Linked DNA regions of Xenopus tropicalis. The protein of the gene in region 3 interacts with the protein of the main gene of each other region in a pairwise test. Links are inferred from orthologs where the notes say so. Each region holds a gene or a part of one and is shown on either strand. Other genes may lie near its edges.

Region 1 (4,794 bases), on a different chromosome or scaffold from region 3:
TTTATTCTCTCCAGCTTTGCTCCCTGTACATTCTAACTGTAAAGTATATGAAGAGCTATAGGAACAATGTTAATAAATGAATAAATATTTAGAGTGTAACATTTAAAATTTGTGCATATCAGCAGTGTTAATTTTGTGTGCACAATGCAACTGTACTGCAAGTGCTTTTAAATGCTGCAGCATAATGCCCCTATGGTCCAATTCGAAAAGTTAGACTAATAATTACGATTTATTTCTATGGCATTATAATACTATTTCTGTGAAACCAAAATTTTTGCAATAAGCCCCTCTGCTAACTCTCATTTTAGCAAACTGGTCCAGTACACTGAGAAACCTTTATTTTTTAGTTTGTTCCATTTTCTTTTCCCAAACTGTCATTCTAAGAGACTTTTTAATATAAATAGATTACACAATTTCATTGTTTTTTTTTTTTTTTAATTATTTGTAAATGCGATTAATATTGAAAGCAGTATCTGTCTCTACACACAGCACTCTTGACTCTGGAAGAAAATAGATTTCTGTCACATTCCTTAAAGAATCAGAATAGAAAGGAAGAAACAAATACTGCTTTAAGTTAGGTGGAAGAGCCAAATAAATGAGCTCAGTGTGCATGGCAATGTTATCAGCCACTGAACTAAAATATAAATTCTAGTTTGTTTTTTCTTGACACAAGAGAAGGTAAAGTAGTGGAAGGGACCACTAAAATGATCTGATTCCATAAAAATTTCAATTTTTTTCCCATAAAAATCCACTTTTCTTTATTACTAGCTCTGGAATCAATTCCGATGCAAAACAGTTTACATCACCAATACTGCACCTTATTCTCCACTAGCTTTTAAAAACCAAAACAATCACTTGAAAGCACTAGCCCAAATAATCCTGTTTGTTAAACTTGTTAAAGTTGTTGATGAGAAACATCCTGTACCGAACATTTGTATACAAGGCAATGAAAGAACTAGCAATCTGTACCCAAATATAAACAGGGAGTTTTGAACTGTGGTTTCCCAGCTGGTATAAATACTCACCAGTTTCCCTGGCACGGCAACCATGCCAAAAACTCAGAACAGATTATTAATAAACAGGCAAGTATTTGCTTTCCCCTTTCTACCACCTTCCCTGTCTAGTCATAATGATTAGTATTAAGGAATCTCCCTAGATTTTAAGATTAGTTTTAGAGTCTGTGTTGGTTTGTTTTGGCTGGGTTAACCAAGTGCTGCACTATTGCAGCTAACCATGTGAAAAATATACACTGGAGATACCAAACTTATCTGGTAGCATTGTTTTGGAAAACAACTCCTAGTATTAAATATAAAATGTTATAAACTGCATTAACAGCTCAAGCAACAATATTATCTTGGGGTTGAACAGTATACACTATATATACTTTGCCTCATACAGACCCTTGGCAAACCCTCTCTGCCATAATCTACATTTGGCCCTGAACAAAATCCCTAAATGAAAAGGGTAGTTTGCCTTTAAATTTACTGTGTTACAGAATTGCCTGTACTTCACAAATTTTTAATTGGTCTTTTTTAAGTTTAAAGGAACAGTAACACTAAAAAATGAAAGAGCTTTAAAGTAATAAATATATAATGCACCAGTTGCCCTGCACTGGTAAAACTGGTGTGTTTGCTACAGTAACACTACTATAATTTATATAATAAGCTGCTGTGTAGCCACGGGGGCAGCCATTCAAGCTGGAAAAAAGGAGAAAAGGCACAGGTTACATAGCAGATAACAGATAAGTTCTGTAGAATACAATAGTGTTTTATCTGTTATCTGCTATGTGCCTGTGCCTTTTCCCCTTTGAATGGCTGCCCCCATGGCTACACAGCAGCTTATTTATATAAATTATAGTAGACTTTCTGAAGTAAACACACAACTTTTACCAGTGCAGGGCAGCAGCACATTATATTTTAGTTACTTTTATACACTTTCATTTTTTGGTGTTACTGTTCCTTTAATGATCTGCCTCCCTCTAGCTTCCAATTCAAAATGCTTTCTGGCAACATGGGGGGGGGGATCCCAGTCCCATACAACCTAAAATCTATTGGTGGCCTGTCAAGATACAATTGTATTATTACTTATCTTTCTATTCTGACACGCTTCTAGCCATGCTCTGGCCTGTCATCCAAAGCACTGCCCCGCTCTCTAATGTAAATAAAAACCTAGCAACCAGATAAGGGGCTGAAATTCCAAACTAGAGAAATGCTGAACTAAAGAGCTAAATATTTCAAAAAGCAATAATAAGAAAAAAAATAATGAAAGCCAACTGAAAATGGTCTCATAATAAGGTCTATGTTAGGGAAAGTTAATTTAAAGGCAAAGTAGCCCTCTGATTTCCAGCTGCTGAAGTCCCTTAGCCCAGAGAGATGCATGTAGGTGCAGCTGGGAGGCTACAGGTTAGCCTGGGGCAGAAGGAGAGAATGCGGCCAAGTTGCTTGCACACAGGCTACTACCCCTCTTGCTGCAGTGCTAGAGCCAAACCTCCGATCCGGGGCCTAGTGTACAGGCCGAAGCCTGAGCTAGAGTAGCGGCGCCGCTCGCTAGGCGATACCTGGTAGGGTTGGGAGTCCCTTCGGTCGTGACAGCTGCAAAAGACAAGAAGAGAGAAAGGCCCGTTAGAGCCGCTGAGGCGGATAAAGAGAGAGGGGGCACGGCTCCCTCCCGCCCCCACATCTCGGGGGGTTCGCAACAAAAATGGCGGCTCCGCCAGAGGGGAGGAAAGAGGGAGAAGGAGAAAGCGGTGCATTATTACCCATCACTGAGTCTCGCTTGTTTCCTTGCATACATTACCATCAATGCCGTGTGTGAGTGGGGTGTGGAGGCGACAGAGAGGAAGAGGGCTAGTGAGGAGGAGGAGGAGAATAATAATAAACCCGACCACCGGGAGGCGGCGGGGCTCGGAGACGTACAGCGGGGTCCGGGAAGTGGCCGGCTCTTTTCTCAAACCCTCAGGAGAAGATTTGGAGACTTTATAGAGGGGGTTCGATGTGTTTAATGGGGCGAGCGCCCGGGATCCATCTCCCCCCCGCACACACAGACACAGACGGCACGACGCAAGCAACGGGAGCGCGGATTCTCCGGGAACGCGCAGCGACGCGATCCCAACCAACTCATCCGCCCGCGCATGCGCAGCGCAGCCTTTCCTGCGTCTTTCCGCGCAGCCTCAGCCCAGCCTCACCTAGCTCCGCCCCCCACCTCTCCTAGCTCCGCCCTCGCCTCCCACAGATAGCTTCGTCATCGCTTTCTCTTTTCTAAAAGCTTTAATTGTTTCGTACAATTAAATAACGCGACAAATCGCCTTCTCAGGTTTTCGTGTACCGTGCAAACCAAGCTGGAGATATCTGATTTACATTCTGCCACGCAGGCGTTATTTTCCAACAATAACCCCCCCCCCCCAGCTTGTTTGCTGAATACAATACGTGTGTGCAAAACATACCTGAGAACTTGAGTATTATGTTTTATACACCTGAAGTTTCTGCCAGAGGACACAAGGGCATTTAGTAAGGGAAGTGTTAGTGGGGAAGCATAAAGGGTTGCATAGCCATGATCTCTAGACCCCCCCATGTACAAATCTCTGTGCCTAGCTCTTGAGGTGCTGTAATCTGCACTATGCCCTGTATTTAATGCCAGTTCCTTAGCGTCTCCTGCTTTAGGCTGATGCCACATGTGACGTTTTTACGCTGCGTATTTTCTCAGCCTAAAAGTGCCGCACAAGCCACACAGCCCCTGCCTGTGGCATACCCCCCAACTGTCCCGTTTTCTATAGCTCATCCCGCTGTCCCGGATAGTTCCCTGAATGTCCCGCATTTTCGTAATAGATTACAGAAATGCGGGACATTCATAGAAGGATCCGTGACAGCGGGATGAGCGCTCCAACTCCTTGCGCTGCTTCTCTCATGTGGCTCCTTCGCCGGCGGTCCCTGGCCCTTTTATAAGGTTGCGCCCGTGCGTAATGACGTCACACATACACACGGGGCGCAACCTTATAAAGTGTCGGAGCGCGATGGGGGCTCTGTGTTTGGGGGCCTCTGTGTATGGGGGGCTCTGTGTATGGGGGGCACTGTGTATGGGGGGGCACTGTGTTTGGGGGGGCACTATGTATGGGGGGCACTGTGTATAGGGGGCACTGTGTATAAAGGGTACTGTATATAAAGGGTACTGTATATAAAGGGTACTGTGTATGGGGGGTACTGTATATGGGGGGGCTCTGTGTATAAAGGGTACTGTATATAAAGGGTACTGTGTATGGGGGGTACTGTATATGGGGGGGCTCTGTGTATAAAGGGTACTGTGTATGGGGGGTACTGTATATGGGGGGGCTCTGTATGAAAGGCACTGTGTATGGGGGGCTCTGTGGGCTTCCTTAGGTAGTACAGTATGAGGGTATAGCACATTTGCATCTGATCCCGCCATTTCAACTATATAAAAGGAGTTGAAAAGGTTCTAATAGTGCGAAATAGTAAAAAATGCCGCGTATTTCCGCTAGGTCTGGCAGCTGCCTTTGTGTATACATAGGAATAGGTTGCTGTGCAAAAACAGTGTATTTCGGCTTGAAAAATCCCTGATAAGGCGTTTTCTAGCGTATTTACGCATTGTGTGGTTTCCTTCGAGTCTTTTCAAGTAATTTCTATGGATGATGATATCGTGTGTTTTTCAGCCGCCGAGAGAATTAAAATACGCAGCGTAAAAACGCCACATGTGGCATCAGCCTTAGGTGTTCAAAATGATGCATAAGCTAAGGCCATACTAGGGAACACATATTTACCATCTCTCACCCCTATGGCAAAC
Region 2 (4,709 bases), on a different chromosome or scaffold from region 3:
TTCTAATTAAAGAGGAACTCTGCATACCCAATAAAAACGCGGAACCGGCGCACTTCAACATTTCCTGACTTCTACGCGGTCCACCAGAAATCCACAGGGGATTGACTGGTGGACTGCGATCAACGTTTTGGCCACCCCTGCTGTAATCTGTTCCTTTAAAAAGTATGTTTCAGATTGTAACAAGTTCTCTAAAGTTTACAGATAGCATGCAGGAACTACATACCCCACAATGCATTGCACTGCAATGTTCTATTCCTTATTGACAACCCGTGTGCACGGGATTGTGGGATTTGGAGGATGCAGGCTGAGAGCAGTCAGCTACTGTTACATTTTCTTTTAGACTTATAGTCAGCCAGACCAGCAGGAGAACAGGGGGCTAGGCTTAGGTAACTGTTCCAAACCATATTATTACATTAAAAATTATGAAAAGGCTGCATATTTTTAATTGTTGTAATTGTTAATTGCTATAATGTTGCTTGAAATTATGTTTACTTTTCAAAGAGCTTAATCTGTGCTTGGGTTGATTTCCCCTTTAATATCTGGGGAGTGAAAAACTGTAAAATGCCAAACTGCAAGTGTTTGTGTATATGCTGTGTGTGCATCAAGCAAAGCAATACAATAAATGACAAAAGCAGATGTTACCAGACCATTGGGCAAAATCTTTTAGGCTCCCTCCCACACTTTGGAAAAGATAATCTGTGCCATACACACATGCCGAGATTGCACATCTATTATTGATCGCAGCTATTATTTGCAGCTTATTTCTTCAACTAGAGGGCACTCTCTCCTCTGGCTCAATCAAACTGCTTAAAGGGGCAGTATACACCTGTGTTAAAAAATAAACCACAGGCACTTTATAGTTACAATATATACACAGGCCGAGGCAGTGCCAGTCAGTACAGTTATAGCAAGGAGCGTATGGGAGTCAATGCTCTTCGTGTGCTATTAGCCTTAAATGAAACACTGTTCATTTTATATTAATATGAGCCCAACAAGTGCTAACCCATATAGGATTCCTAAATATTTTTATGATACAGGTATAGGACCCCTTATCCAGAATGTGCGGGACCAAGGGTATTCCAGATAAGAGGTCTTTCTGTAATTTCAATCTCCATACCTTAAGTCTACTAAAAAAAAACAATAAAACATTAATTAAACCCAATAGGATTGTTTTGCATACAATAAGGATTATTTATATCTTTTATTACTACAGAGAAAAAGGAAATCAGTTTTAAAATTATTTGATTAAAATGGAGTCTATGGGAGACATGCTTTTTCGTAATTCAAAGCTTTCTGTATAATGGGTTTCCGGATAAGGGATCCCACACCTGTAGTATATTATCAATAAGTGCTTGAAAGACTTACCATACAATTGCAAATATATATAGATAGATAGATATATGTATATATATATGTGTGTGTGTGTGTGTGTATGTGCTAATTTAATGCACATGTGAGGACAGAAAAATATTCCATAGGGTGATTGCTGTTCCTCTCCCTTTTCCTTTTATTGAAGTTGGATAATCCCCCCCTCCTCCCCAGCCCCCTGCCCAATACAATATGATCAGGGCCAGACGGTGGGGTCTGGTTTCTAAAAGAAAACGTCCACCACATGCTTGGGACAGCCCCACTACAAAGGGCATTTGAAAAAGCCATTTGTCTGTCACTCCAATCATAACCTCCGACGCCTCTCACGCTGACAAGGGCTCCAGGTAAGTGAGCTGGAACATCATGCTTAGTATTAGGGAAAAGGCAAGGCACATATATATAGAACTGATTAACTGAATCACTCATCCCATATTTTTATTTAGCATGTCTTAGTCTGTCAATATAATTAGTTTTTCTGTGCAGAGAATTATTTTTGTATATTGTGATTTTTGCATTTCTCTTTCTGGCTACATTTGGTTTGAGCTCACTGTAACACTATGAACAAAAGGAGAATGTTCCAGAGCCTATATGTTCCTTTCAAGCCTTTTACTCCCCTAAAGAGCCAGCCTTTTTATTCCCAGCATACTGCATGATTATGCTTATATATGTACTATTCCTGCCAAGGAGAATACTCTTGGACATTGACAATTGACAACTGCAGTTTTAAAAAATAATTTAGCAGCTTTAGGGGTTTTTTTTGCCCAAACCCATCCCTACTGTCTCCCATTCACTGTTATATAAACCACCTTATAGCACTATTACTACTTCTTTCCGTTTTCCAATTTAAAGGGACACGCAACCCCTTTGTTTAACACTGGCTCAGTGAATAGAGATTGTGCTGAACATACCTGCTGGACTGCTGATCTGTTTGACTCTGCGGACCAGAAAGTAGAACGTGACTGGAGTGCTATTGATTAAAAAGCTAAATAATTAAAAAAAACACAAAATCTGAAAAATGAAGACCAATTGCAAACTGTCTCATTATGCCTCATACTAAAAGTTAAAAGGCTAACTACCTCTGTAATTGGGTTTGTTTTACATTAATTTTAGTCATTATTCTTCATCACTTACATTTCTCTTTATATTTTGTGGATTACTCCTCCTTACTTTACTTACTGTAATGTACTGTTGCCCTGCACTGGTAAAACTTGTGTGTTTGCTTTAGAAACCCTAATATAGTTTCTATAAATCAGCTGCTGTGTAACCATGGGGGCAGCTATTTTAGCTGAAAAAAAGGATAACACACAGGTTACATAGTAGATAACAGATAAACACTGTAACATACAATTGGAATCTACACAGCTTATTGGTTTTCTGCTATGTAACCTGTGCCTTTTCTCCTTTTAAAGGTTGAATAGCTGCCCCCATGGCTACACAGCAGTTTTGTTTATATTAAAGGAACAGTAACACCAAAAAATTCAAGTGTATAAAAGAAATTCCAATATAATGTGCTGCTGCCCTGCACTGGTACAACTGGTGTGTTTGCCTCAGAAACACTACTATGGTTTATATAAAGAATGCAGCTGTGTAGCCATGGGGGCAGCCATTCAAAGGAGAAAAGGCACAGGCACATAGCAGATAACAGATAAAACACTATTGTATTCTACAGAGCTTATCCGTTATCTGCTATGTAACCTGTGCCTCTTCTCCTTTTTTCCAGCTTGAATGGCTGCCCCCGGGGCTACACAGCAGCTCATTATATATAACCTATAGTAGAGTTACTGTAGCAAACACACAACTTTTACCAGTGTAAGCCAACAGTACATTATATTTAATTTACTTTAAAACTCTTTCATTTTTTGGTGTTACTGTTCCTTTAACTATAGTAGGATTTCTGTAGCAAATGCACAACTTTTACTAGTACAGGGAAACAGTACATAATATATGAATTACTTGCACAGCTGTTGTTTGGGAGTTGCTAATAGGAGGAACTGCCCTGGGCATTGCAGAGCATTAGTTAGATATAGGATGTTGGTGGGGTAACAGGGTAATACCGCAACAGTAGAGCCACATGGTGATAATAGAGCAAGATAGACACTGTATTTCAGTATTGCCAAACCTGCAACCCTTAAGTTGATGCAGAAGTACACATCTCACTGTTCAATGATGGCAAAGGTGATTCAGAGGGTTGTAGTTTAACAGCAACTGCTTTTGTATGAAGTCATTGTGTGAACTGATGCCATTTATTATAGGTACAGGTATGGGACCTATTATACAGAATGCTTGGGACCTGGGGTTTTCCGGATAAGGGGTCTTTCCGTAATTTGGATCGCCTACCTTAAGTCTGCCAAAAAAAATATTTAAACAGTAATTAAACCCAATAGGATTGTTTTGGCTCCAATAAGGATTAATTATATCTTAGTTGGGATCAAGTACAAGGTTCTGTTTTATTATTACAGAAAATTATTTTTAAAAAATTTGAATTATTTAATTTAAATGGAGTCTATGGGAGATGGCCTTTCCGTAATTCAGAACTCTCTGGATAATGGGCTTCTGGATAAGGAGTCAGATTCCTGGACTTGCATCTATACTTCTACTAGTGCGCTGTTCCCACCTCCTGTGCCAAATCACATGCAAGTGTGTGTATTGAGGCAGGGGATCCCTGGAGCTACAACCACCTCCAAGTTTCAGAGTTCCCACTGTGGGTAAAAATTAGAACTGCTATACCCTCACATTCATCTGTGCAAACTGAAAATAAACCTTACTTCTAAATCTGATATATTCTCCTTTCAATACTCACACAAATATGCACAGTGCGTCTCTGCCAGGACTGAGTTCACTGAAGCCCTTAAGCATCTTGCATTAATGATCTAGTTGCAACCATCTTTAATTGTGGAGGGGCCCAGGTTTTATATACAGTAATGTTGGATTGTCCAACTTTTGGCCCTTCAGCACAACTCACAGCACTGCTGACAGCCACAGCACTGATATAAAATGGTACGTGCTGATTCCATCTTGTTCCTGCTACGCACCAATCATGCCGTATACAGGTGCTATAAGGACCAGAGCAGTCGCCTCTATCTTTCCTTTCTCCTCTTAAAGCTATGGAACTACTCATTCCCTAAAATGTATTCCTCAATGGCTATCCTATCCAGACTCTGCTACATGCTATGTCCTGAATGTGGAAGTCATTATTCAGACTCATTATGAAAGTGAGTGGGCTGTACAGTATCCTGCCTAATAATGTGCCTGGAAAATACATCTGCAGAACTGTCAAGGGAATCCAAGTATGATGTTTAGTAGCTTAGTAAGCAAAGCCAAATCACCATATATTACAAAAT
Region 3 (4,651 bases):
GGCAACTAACTGCTCCAAAAAGGCTTTCCATCGGCAACAGTCGCGGTAGGGTCGGACAGGGGGTTGCAGGGCCCACCGAGGCTTCTGCCTCGGGGGCCCCTGCACTCCCCAATGGCCCCCGCCGCAGCTTTTCAACCCCCCGCCGGCCCTCTCCCCTGAGAGCGGCTAATTTAAACTTACAGTCAGGGGAGGCGGGAGGGAGACCAGCGGCACAATGGGTTTTTTCCCGGTGTCCCAGTCCGACCCTGGTCGCTGGTGAAAAGCCCTTCACATTGCTTTGGTAATCCAAAGTCACGCAAAATTTCCTCCTCCTCCCATCATGGGCAACTAACTCACTCTGTGGGTTTCTACTCTAAGGGCAGTGGCTCACAGGGAAATTTGTCGCCCGCGAGAAATCTTCGCTATTGCGGGAGACTCCCCGACAATATAAATCACTGGTGGGATGGCATATGCATCACTTCGGTTGCCTGAAGTTGCCTCACAAGGAAACTTTGGAAAACCAAAGCAACTTGTAAGCCATCCCATCAGCGATTTACATTCTTGCCGGTAGGATGGCATGTTGGTATTAGTCTCCCGCAATGGCGAAGATTTATCTCGGGCAACTAATCTCCCTGTGTGCCACTGCCCTAAAGGCAAAGACACATCAAGCTACCTAGTAGTAGCTACTTGTTAAGGGCTCTGGGACACGGGGAGATTAGTCGCCTGCGACAAAATCTCCCGTGTCTCGGGCGACTAATCTCCCCAGATTGCCATTTCGGCAAATCGCCTGCGCAGCGTGTGCCATCCCACCGGCGACTTACATTTTCGCTGGTGGGATGGCAATCCGGGGAGATTAGTCGCCCGAGACAGGGGAGATTTGTCGCGTGCGACTAATCTCCCTGTGTGCCAGAGCCCTAAGGCTACTAAATGCCAGAAAATACCCTGCCATAGACTATACTGAGAACTGCCTGCGCTAAAACACACGTAGACAGTAATTAGTAAATCATCAGAATTGTCTGTTTTTGTAGCAGTGACAAGTTGCTGCTACTAGTAACTCTGTGTGTCTTCACCCTTAGAACATACGTTGTCACATGACATAACTAGCCACCTTACTCCTAGGTACAGATTAGAATCTTGGACTCATTTGCCTGGGCTAGTTCTAAAAACAAACGGCCTAATATAAAAAAATATATATATATCTTCCCGTGTAAAGTGCCGCGAATAACCGAGAATCTACCTTTCACTCCTAACAGTAAGTGCTTATTTAAAACTATTTTCCACAGAGCGTGCAACTTTTGACGAGTATTGAAGGGTTAATGTCAGGAGGGGGATGGGCATAGTCTCACCTCCTCAGTCTCATTGCGTAAGCAGGTGGGCGTGGTGTGACCGTATCCGAATTCCTATTGGCTGGGAGGCGCTGCCAGTCCCTCACTACGTGTTGGCCCTTGTGGTTTCCCGTCATTCTAAGACGGGACGGGCTAGAGTCAGTGGCAAGGGTACAATCCGGAGGGGCTCCTAGGAAATATCGAGCACGGAGTATTACAGTAATCTCGTTACGGAGGAGATACCGGCCTGGGGCAAGGGGGCCAGCATGATGGAGATCGAGATGCCCCTGCCACTGCAGTCACAACAGGTGGGCAAGAGGTCCCGGGGGGCGGTGGTCTGTATATGACGTGTGTATGACGTGAGCAGTCATTAGAAACGAGGAAATGGCAGAATCATACGCGGGGATGGTTGTATGGTGTAGGGCGGAAAGGATATCTGCTGTGGAAAAGTAATAAAGTCCTATTATACTTTCGCCTGAGTCGCTTCCGCAACTGCTTGCATTCCATCCACAGACCAAGGCTGCACATCCCTCATTGATGTGAACCCCAGAATTCTTTTCAGAGGGGGCTCCACTTGTCTTATTCCGGCAAAAATCCAAAAAGTAGGAAAAAAGCTTCAGCAGATTTACTGCAAACCATTTATTGTGGGTTATTCCGGCCCTGCTCACACTGTACCTGGGAGCGTCTGAAGTTCAAGCTGTAAAGTACTTTACTGTGGGCTTAATGGTGCTGTGAGCAGCGCCCCCTATCTGTCAGTGCAGCTGCCCCTCCTCCCACCGGATGACTGCTCATGTGATCACTGCATCACTTGATCTCTCCAGAAGGACAGTCCTATTCCCCAATATGGGGACTGGTTGGATGTACCTGACAGAGCTGATAACCTGCTTCTATGGCACAAGGGAAAATGGATGGTAAAATAGTGCAGAAATGAGTTGATATTCATAAGATAGAGGGGTTAATAGGCAAGCAAGAGGTTACTGAGCAAAGGTTTGGGTTGGAAATAAAGAGGCATACAAATAAGTTGCAGAGGTGGGGTCAGATAATAAGGGGAAGGAACAAACCGTGAGAAAAAGCTGAAAAATGGAGTGTTATTTCAGTACAGAGAGATTAGTGATAGGACCTTGTCCATTAGGGATCGTGATTAATGGCCGGATAGTGTGTTAGATCTTGGTGGCCATGACAGTAAAAGCCATGTACTAATGTAGAGTGCTTATTGCATGTTTAAGTACTGAATGAACATGATAGGCTAAGCTATTTCTTGCATGTGGCTGCTGCAGAACAGCTTTGTTTCACCTGTTATTAATAGCTTTAAGTGGCCTACTCATTACTAACATGGCCTTAACATCGTATTGTACAGCGCTGCGGAATATGTTGGCGCTTTATAAATAAATGTTAATAACATCGGACTGGCTGACCTAGCACTCTTTCATCATGCCTGCCCATTACTGCTGTATACCACAAAGGTTAAAAGGAGATACAGGTATCGGACCCCTTATCCGGAAACCCGTTATCCAGAAAGCTCCGAATTACGGAATGCCCATCTCCCATAGACTCCATTTTAATCAAATAATTCAGAATTTTAAAACTCATTTCCTTTTTCTATGTAGAAATAAAACAGAACCTTGTAATTGATTCCAACTAAGATATAATTAATCCTTATTGGATGCAAAACAATCCTATTTGGTTTAATGTTTTATTGATTTTTTAGTAGACTTAAGGTATTGAGTTTCAAATTACGGAAAGACCCCTTATCCGGAATACCCTTGGTCCCGAGCATTCTGGATAATGGGTCCTATGCCTGTACTAGAAACTGCAGTTCATCAGTATATGCATGGTGTCTGTGCCTTTTATACAGTGTTTATGGTTTTTGCCCCATTGCACACTTTAATGGGTTTAGTGCTGTGTGCCAGGCTGCTGAGAATAGCAAATGTGGAATTTTGCTTTTTGAGAAACAATTAGTGCCATTTAAATTCCTATTTCAGATCCTAGACCGAAATAGTCAAGCCTGAATAGATATTCTATGATTAGCAGAACTTGGGGCCTTTTTTTGTGTTTTTGCAGTAATTGCACATCCAGCACAGACCAAATTAGTTGACTGTCTCTAGTGGTATCCTGTCAGACCCCTGTTTCCATTGGCCCTTGGAATATAGTCACCCTCCTCACTGCTTTCTGCTTGGCTTCCTTCTGTTCTCTCTCCCAGTTCCACTCCCTGTGTTATACAATTAGTCTGCCCAGAGTTTGCTTGCTCTCTCTGACAACTGAATGTGCACAATCACCCAGGGGATCCCTAGGGGGTTTCAATATGTACAGGAGATAGGCCAAAACTCCTCTTTATGGTCTGTTTTGAAACTTAAAAATATACAGAACTAGGATCTGTTTTAAATTTTTTTTTATAAACCATAAGTTTAATGTGAGAAATCATCATTTATTTGCCAACAATTTGTGCATGTAGTAGATTTATTTTTTATATGAACACCATCTTATCAGTGTAATTGTTTCACCTTGTTAAACTGAACCCTTTATCATTAAGTTAATATAGGAGTGCCCTTTGAGTTGCGTCATTAATAAAATTTACAGTTTACCGAACGTGGGCTCAGTGTAAATACTAGAATAATAATTGACTTTATTAATATGTGACCATTTTTGCAGCACAGCATAAAAACTTGCCTACAGCAGAGCCTTACAGCCTTAACCTTTAATGTGAATATTTAAAATAAGGCCAGGATGAGTCAGTTTCACAGGTCTGTGATTACTGCAGAATTCCAGGTAGAGTTGAAAAGAAATCCTAATTATTGCAGTTAGAGTTGCCTCTGTTTCCAGAGAAAGGGAAAAAAATGCCTTTTTTTTTTTTTTTTAGCTTTTACTAACTACTTCAGTATTAAGCATCTTCTTCTTATTATTCATTTACTGGTAGGCTGATAAATGCTGGGCAGGTAAGAACAGTGTTTGAAGTAATTCAAAACACTGATTGGCTATGTTAAAGCTCAAATGGTCAATGTTATTGTATGGTTTGCACACACTTTAACATTAAGGACATACAGACACTTTTTCAGAGGTGAATAAGTTGCTGCAGTGCATGCTGGAAGTTCTCCGCCATGTTCTGTCAGTCATAAGGAAGTCACACTTACTTTCATGTGCCTTTAAGCATAACGACCCCACAAGGCAGATAATCTCAATAGATGTTCATGAGAGTTTAGTTTGGCAGTGCATGTTGCATTGGGAGAAGAACTGAAGACTCTACACTTCATGGTGTGCTAATCATTTGGCCTATAAATAGTTGGGCAAAGGGCACCGCATGGTTGGCTACTGCATTGTGTGGGCTCCCAGTAACATAAATAGAAAATGGG
Region 4 (4,629 bases), on a different chromosome or scaffold from region 3:
GAACAGTGGTGAACCTTCCCAGGAGTGGCCGGCCGACCAAAATTACCCCAAGAGCGCAGAGACAACTCATCCGAGAGGCCACAAAAGACCCCAGGACAACATCTAAAGAACTGCAGGCCTCACTTGCCTCAATTAAGGTCAGTGTTCACGATTCCACCATAAGAAAGAGACTGGGCAAAAATGGCCTGCATGGCAGATTTCCAAGGCGCAAACCACTTTTAAGCAAAAAGAACATTAAGGCTCATCTCAATTTTGCTAAAAAACATCTCAATGATTGCCAAGACTTTTGGGAAAATACCTTGTGGACCGACGAGACAAAAGTTGAACTTTTTGGAAGGTGCGTGTCCCGTTACATCTGGCGTAAAAGTAACACAGCATTTCAGAAAAAGAACATCATACCAACAGTAAAATATGGTGGTGGTAGTGTGATGGTCTGGGGTTGTTTTGCTGCTTCAGGACCTGGAAGGCTTGCTGTGATAGATGGAACCATGAATTCTACTGTCTACCAAAAAATCATGAAGGAGAATGTCCGGCCATCTGTTCGTCAACTCAAGCTGAAGCGATCTTGGGTGCTGCAGCAGGACAATGACCCAAAACACACCAGCAAATCCACCTCTGAATGGCTGAAGAAAAACAAAATGAAGACTTTGGAGTGGCCTAGTCAAAGTCCTGACCTGAATCCTATTGAGATGTTGTGGCATGACCTTAAAAAGGCGGTTCATGCTAGAAAACCCTCAAATAAAGCTGAATTACAACAATTCTGCAAAGATGAGTGGGCCAAAATTCCTCCAGAGCGCTGTAAAAGACTTGTTGCAAGTTATCGCAAACGCTTGATTGCAGTTATTGCTGCTAAGGGTGGCCCAACCAGTTATTAGGTTCAGGGGGCAATTACTTTTTCACACAGGGCCATGTAGGTTTTCTCCCTAAATAATAAAAACCCTCATTTAAAAACTGCATTTTGTGTTTACTTGTGTTATCTTTGACTAATAGTTAAATGTGTTTGATGATCAGAAACATTTTGTGTGACAAACATGCAAAAGAATAAGAAATCAGGAAGGGGGCAAATAGTTTTTCACACCACTGTATATGCGCCAAATATAGTATTAAACTTAGTTTCACACCATGTTATCAGTACCTGCATAGCCAGTTAATCAAGAGAGGCCGAGAACTCCCAGTTGTACACATTAGAGATGGGAAGAATAAAAGAGGCACAGAAAACAGCTCTCCAGGCAGAATACATTCAATCCATTTATAAGGCAAAAGCCCAGAAGCCTGCATTTAATGAATACATTTATAAGGCAAGAGAATATAGTCTCTGCACCTGCTGAGAGTCTATGAATTTCTGTTAGCAACCCTTTTCCCCATACAGGGCGCACATTGCATATTTCCACTGTGACTGCAGAAGATGAAAAAGCATACCTTTTCTGCTATCCAACAGGGAGGGGGAAGGAGGGAGAAGGGGGAGCAAGTGGTTCCATTCAGCCGACAGAGAACCAGTGTGGGGCATGTCACTCACACAGTGCCTGGCAGCACATCCAATCACAAGCAGAGGGGGCGGGGCAGAAGATGGACTGCTAAGCAAGGAGGCAGGCTGCATGATCAGTAGCTGAATTGCCCAGGATGCCAGGATGAAAGGAAACACAACACAATGTGTGCCTTCCCATCTGTAAATAAGCCTTGCTTGTCTCCAGTGCCCCTGGACCCATACGCCTTGGAACAGGGCAAATGGGGCTTATGAATCAAACATGCAGTTCAGCCTGTAATTGTCATATAGATGAAAGAATACCATGCCCCACCCCCCTCCAAAAAAATTTGCATTCCCTTTTCCGCTCCAGGCGTTTCAATGAATATTCTCTCTTTTTTGTTCCTAAACTCAGAGCCCACACAACTGACAGCTGCTGTGCAAAAATAATTTTCCCTGTACAGAGCCCATGTCTCATATTTCTACTGTGACTGCAGAAAATGAAAAAAAAAAGCATACCTTTTCTGTTATCCAACAGGGAGGGGAAGGAGGGGGAGAAAACGTTTCCATTCAGCTAACGGAGAACCCAGTGTGCATCATGTCACTCACACAGGTTCTGGCAGCACATCCAATCAGAATTAGAGGAGGGCAGGGTGACAGATGGACAGCTAAGCAAGGAGGCAGGCTACAGGATTAGTAACTCCGTTGCCCAGGATGAAATAAAGAAGCGTTTGCAGGAATTTATGACCAGCAAACAATATTTATTCTAGGGATAGGATTGCCACTTAGCAACAGCTAATGGGTTTAGCAACTGCCTCCTGAAGATACACTGGGAAAATACATTTGTACCACTGGAACCACATTTCTGTGTTCCCCGGCAGAGGAGCTTGTGGCTTTAAAGAGGTGGGAGCCAGCACAGGTCTGATCTGTGCTTATTGGACAATGTGATATCACAGGAAGGGGAGTAGCTGAACGTGGAAGATTTTTTTTACCGGAAGTCTGTCGGATGACAATTCTAAAGATAAGGGAATGTTTTGAAAGAGCAGAAATTCAAATAAATATTATAAAACAAAGATGCAGTTCAGGTTGTAATTGTCATAAAGATGAAGAAAGGACAAAAGTTTTAGATAAGAAATAGATAAGTATAACATTTAACTACCTAAAAGAAGGTTTGGTTTTGTTGGTAAGCATTGTAACCCTATTACTATGGGAAGTATCCTGGGTTCTTTTGAAAACATCTATATTTATTAAAATGCTTCCTAACGTGAGGTTTAGCATTAATATCTTAGCCTTATATCCATCCTTAACTTCATGGATGAAATTTGGACCAAAGTGGAAGGAGGAAGCAACATTAGGGGAGATCTGAAGTCAGATGCTGCAGCTGAGCAAGACTTTCTTAGGCTGGTCACATGGTTTAAGGTTTGGCTAAAGGATACCATCAAATATTACATGTTACTGGAAATGAAATATTTCATAGTCTGCAGTGACTACTACTGTGTTTCATCCTAGTTACAGGATGTTTACAAACAAACTTTGAGGGTCTAGGCTCTAGGGCCTGCTTGTCATGGAAGGCAAATGGATAAAACTGAAATCCCTTACACTTAGGGGCCCATTCATTAAACCACAATTTTTATTTTTGAGAAAAAATTGTATTTTTTCTAATTTATTGAACTTTTCGTAATGTCCACGATAATTTCATTAAAATGTCACAACTTTTTCGTGGTTTTCGTTAACTTCCACAAGAAAGTCGTATTTTTCGTAAAGACTGCAATCATTTCGGAATTTATTCAAGCTTTGGTATCGTGACTATCTTTTGGCCAAGTTGGGAAGGCTTTCAAAATCATGCATTGAAGGTTTCAAAGCCAGAAAGGTTTTTGGGCCATTTCTGAACGTTCAGATCCGAAAATTTTGTGACTTTCAAAACGAACCATAATATTTTCGTACGACCGATAAAATAATTTTCGAACATCAGAAATTATCGTGGTTACTCTAAATTTTTGGCATATTGTGATTTTAACCACAAAAAAATTGTGTTAATCGGAAACGTAATACAGTTATAGGAGATATTTGAGCTGCCTGATAATATTTTAATGAACTGAGAAAATTTAAACCATCACTTTTCTTATGTTTACATAAAATGGCACCCAAAACACAAGGGTAGCCATGATTCCATATGAACCTGTTTAAAAGTTTTTGTGAAGTAATGAGCCCAGTCTTAGGTACTGGAATAAGTAGGGAGTGAAAAAAATATAGTTTTGGTAAAATAAACATCTTCGTCCTAACCAGGATATTTTGTATTTAGTCCATTGGGATAATAAGTTCTTACTTTTTTTCCCACATTGGAGGATAGTTCAATTTGTAAAGAGAGTATACCTGGAGCGTGAGGTTTATTCATATATTTTCAAATGGGTAGTTTTCCAGGAATCCAAATGGGTCTTTTTATTAACAGTGGAACCGTGAGATACTCCTAGTTTAACAACTCTAAGGGTGAAGACACATGGAGCTACTTAGTAGCAGCTACTTGTCACAGCTATTAATGTGCACTAAATAACATGGCTGCGTGCGCTAGGAGCTCTCTCCAGGTGCAGGTGGCTCACCTGCGATGAGGCTGTATTTAAAAAAAACAAAAAACACAGGATAGGATAAGAAAGAGTACATAAAAAAACTGTTGAAGGATAACTAGATGGAAAAGGAAGAACAAAACAAAAATTTTAAGCAACTGTATAACCATGGCAGCATAGCCAGGTACCCCATAGGCCAACTACTCTAAAGGAGATAAGGGGGGGGCTTACTGCACTGACAGTAAATCCAAGAAAAGGATTTACCAGTAAGAAAATCTCATTTTCTCTAGGCTGCTCTTCCTGTCCTGCAGACGTATGGGGACATCCAAAAGCTGTACCATAACTTGACTGGGAGGCAGGCCCGGATTTGTGGAGAAGCCATAAAGGCCTGGGCCTAGGGCGGCAGAAATGTAGGGGCGGCACGCCCCCCGCAACAGGGTTTTTAAAGTTTTTTTCCATTCGGAGCGGTGGGAACATCTTATGGGACTTTAAATGTGTGCGTATGCGTGCTCGCAGGTGGTTGTTCACTCGTTCGCGCATGCGCGTTGGGGGGGGGGGGGGTCAACGGGGGTGGCCTAGGGGCGCCCAGAAGACAAATCCGGCCCT

What was found. The genes of interacting proteins can lie anywhere in the genome.
Region 1: the proteins of nfe2l2 (region 3) and wac interact in a two-hybrid assay, tested with the Homo sapiens proteins (2 studies listed by BioGRID and IntAct). The two-hybrid records come from large-scale screens. The link is inferred for Xenopus tropicalis from reciprocal best matches to the Homo sapiens genes NFE2L2 and WAC.
Region 2: the proteins of nfe2l2 (region 3) and tnnt1 interact in binary tests that used the Homo sapiens proteins (3 or more experiments, as listed by UniProt). The two-hybrid records come from large-scale screens. The link is inferred for Xenopus tropicalis from reciprocal best matches to the Homo sapiens genes NFE2L2 and TNNT1.
Region 4: the proteins of nfe2l2 (region 3) and mafg interact in binary tests that used the Homo sapiens proteins (3 or more experiments, as listed by UniProt). The link is inferred for Xenopus tropicalis from reciprocal best matches to the Homo sapiens genes NFE2L2 and MAFG.

The regions. Positions count from the first base shown.
Region 1 is NC_030682.2:24,252,601-24,257,394, forward strand, and holds the start of wac (WW domain-containing adapter protein with coiled-coil), read right to left. Parts: upstream 3,109-4,794; 5' UTR 2,800-3,108; coding exon 2,759-2,799; intron 2,592-2,758; coding exon 2,558-2,591; intron 1-2,557.
Region 2 is NC_030683.2:104,578,613-104,583,321, forward strand, and holds the start of tnnt1 (troponin T, slow skeletal muscle), read left to right. Parts: upstream 1-1,601; 5' UTR 1,602-1,712; intron 1,713-4,709. UniProt on the Homo sapiens protein: Troponin T is the tropomyosin-binding subunit of troponin, the thin filament regulatory complex which confers calcium-sensitivity to striated muscle actomyosin ATPase activity.
Region 3 is NC_030685.2:65,693,850-65,698,500, reverse strand, and holds the start of nfe2l2 (nuclear factor erythroid 2-related factor 2), read left to right. Parts: upstream 1-1,483; 5' UTR 1,484-1,570; coding exon 1,571-1,612; intron 1,613-4,651.
Region 4 is NC_030686.2:27,981,764-27,986,392, forward strand, and holds the start of mafg (transcription factor MafG), read right to left. Parts: upstream 3,109-4,629; 5' UTR 2,033-3,108; coding exon 1,982-2,032; intron 1-1,981. UniProt on the Homo sapiens protein: Since they lack a putative transactivation domain, the small Mafs behave as transcriptional repressors when they dimerize among themselves.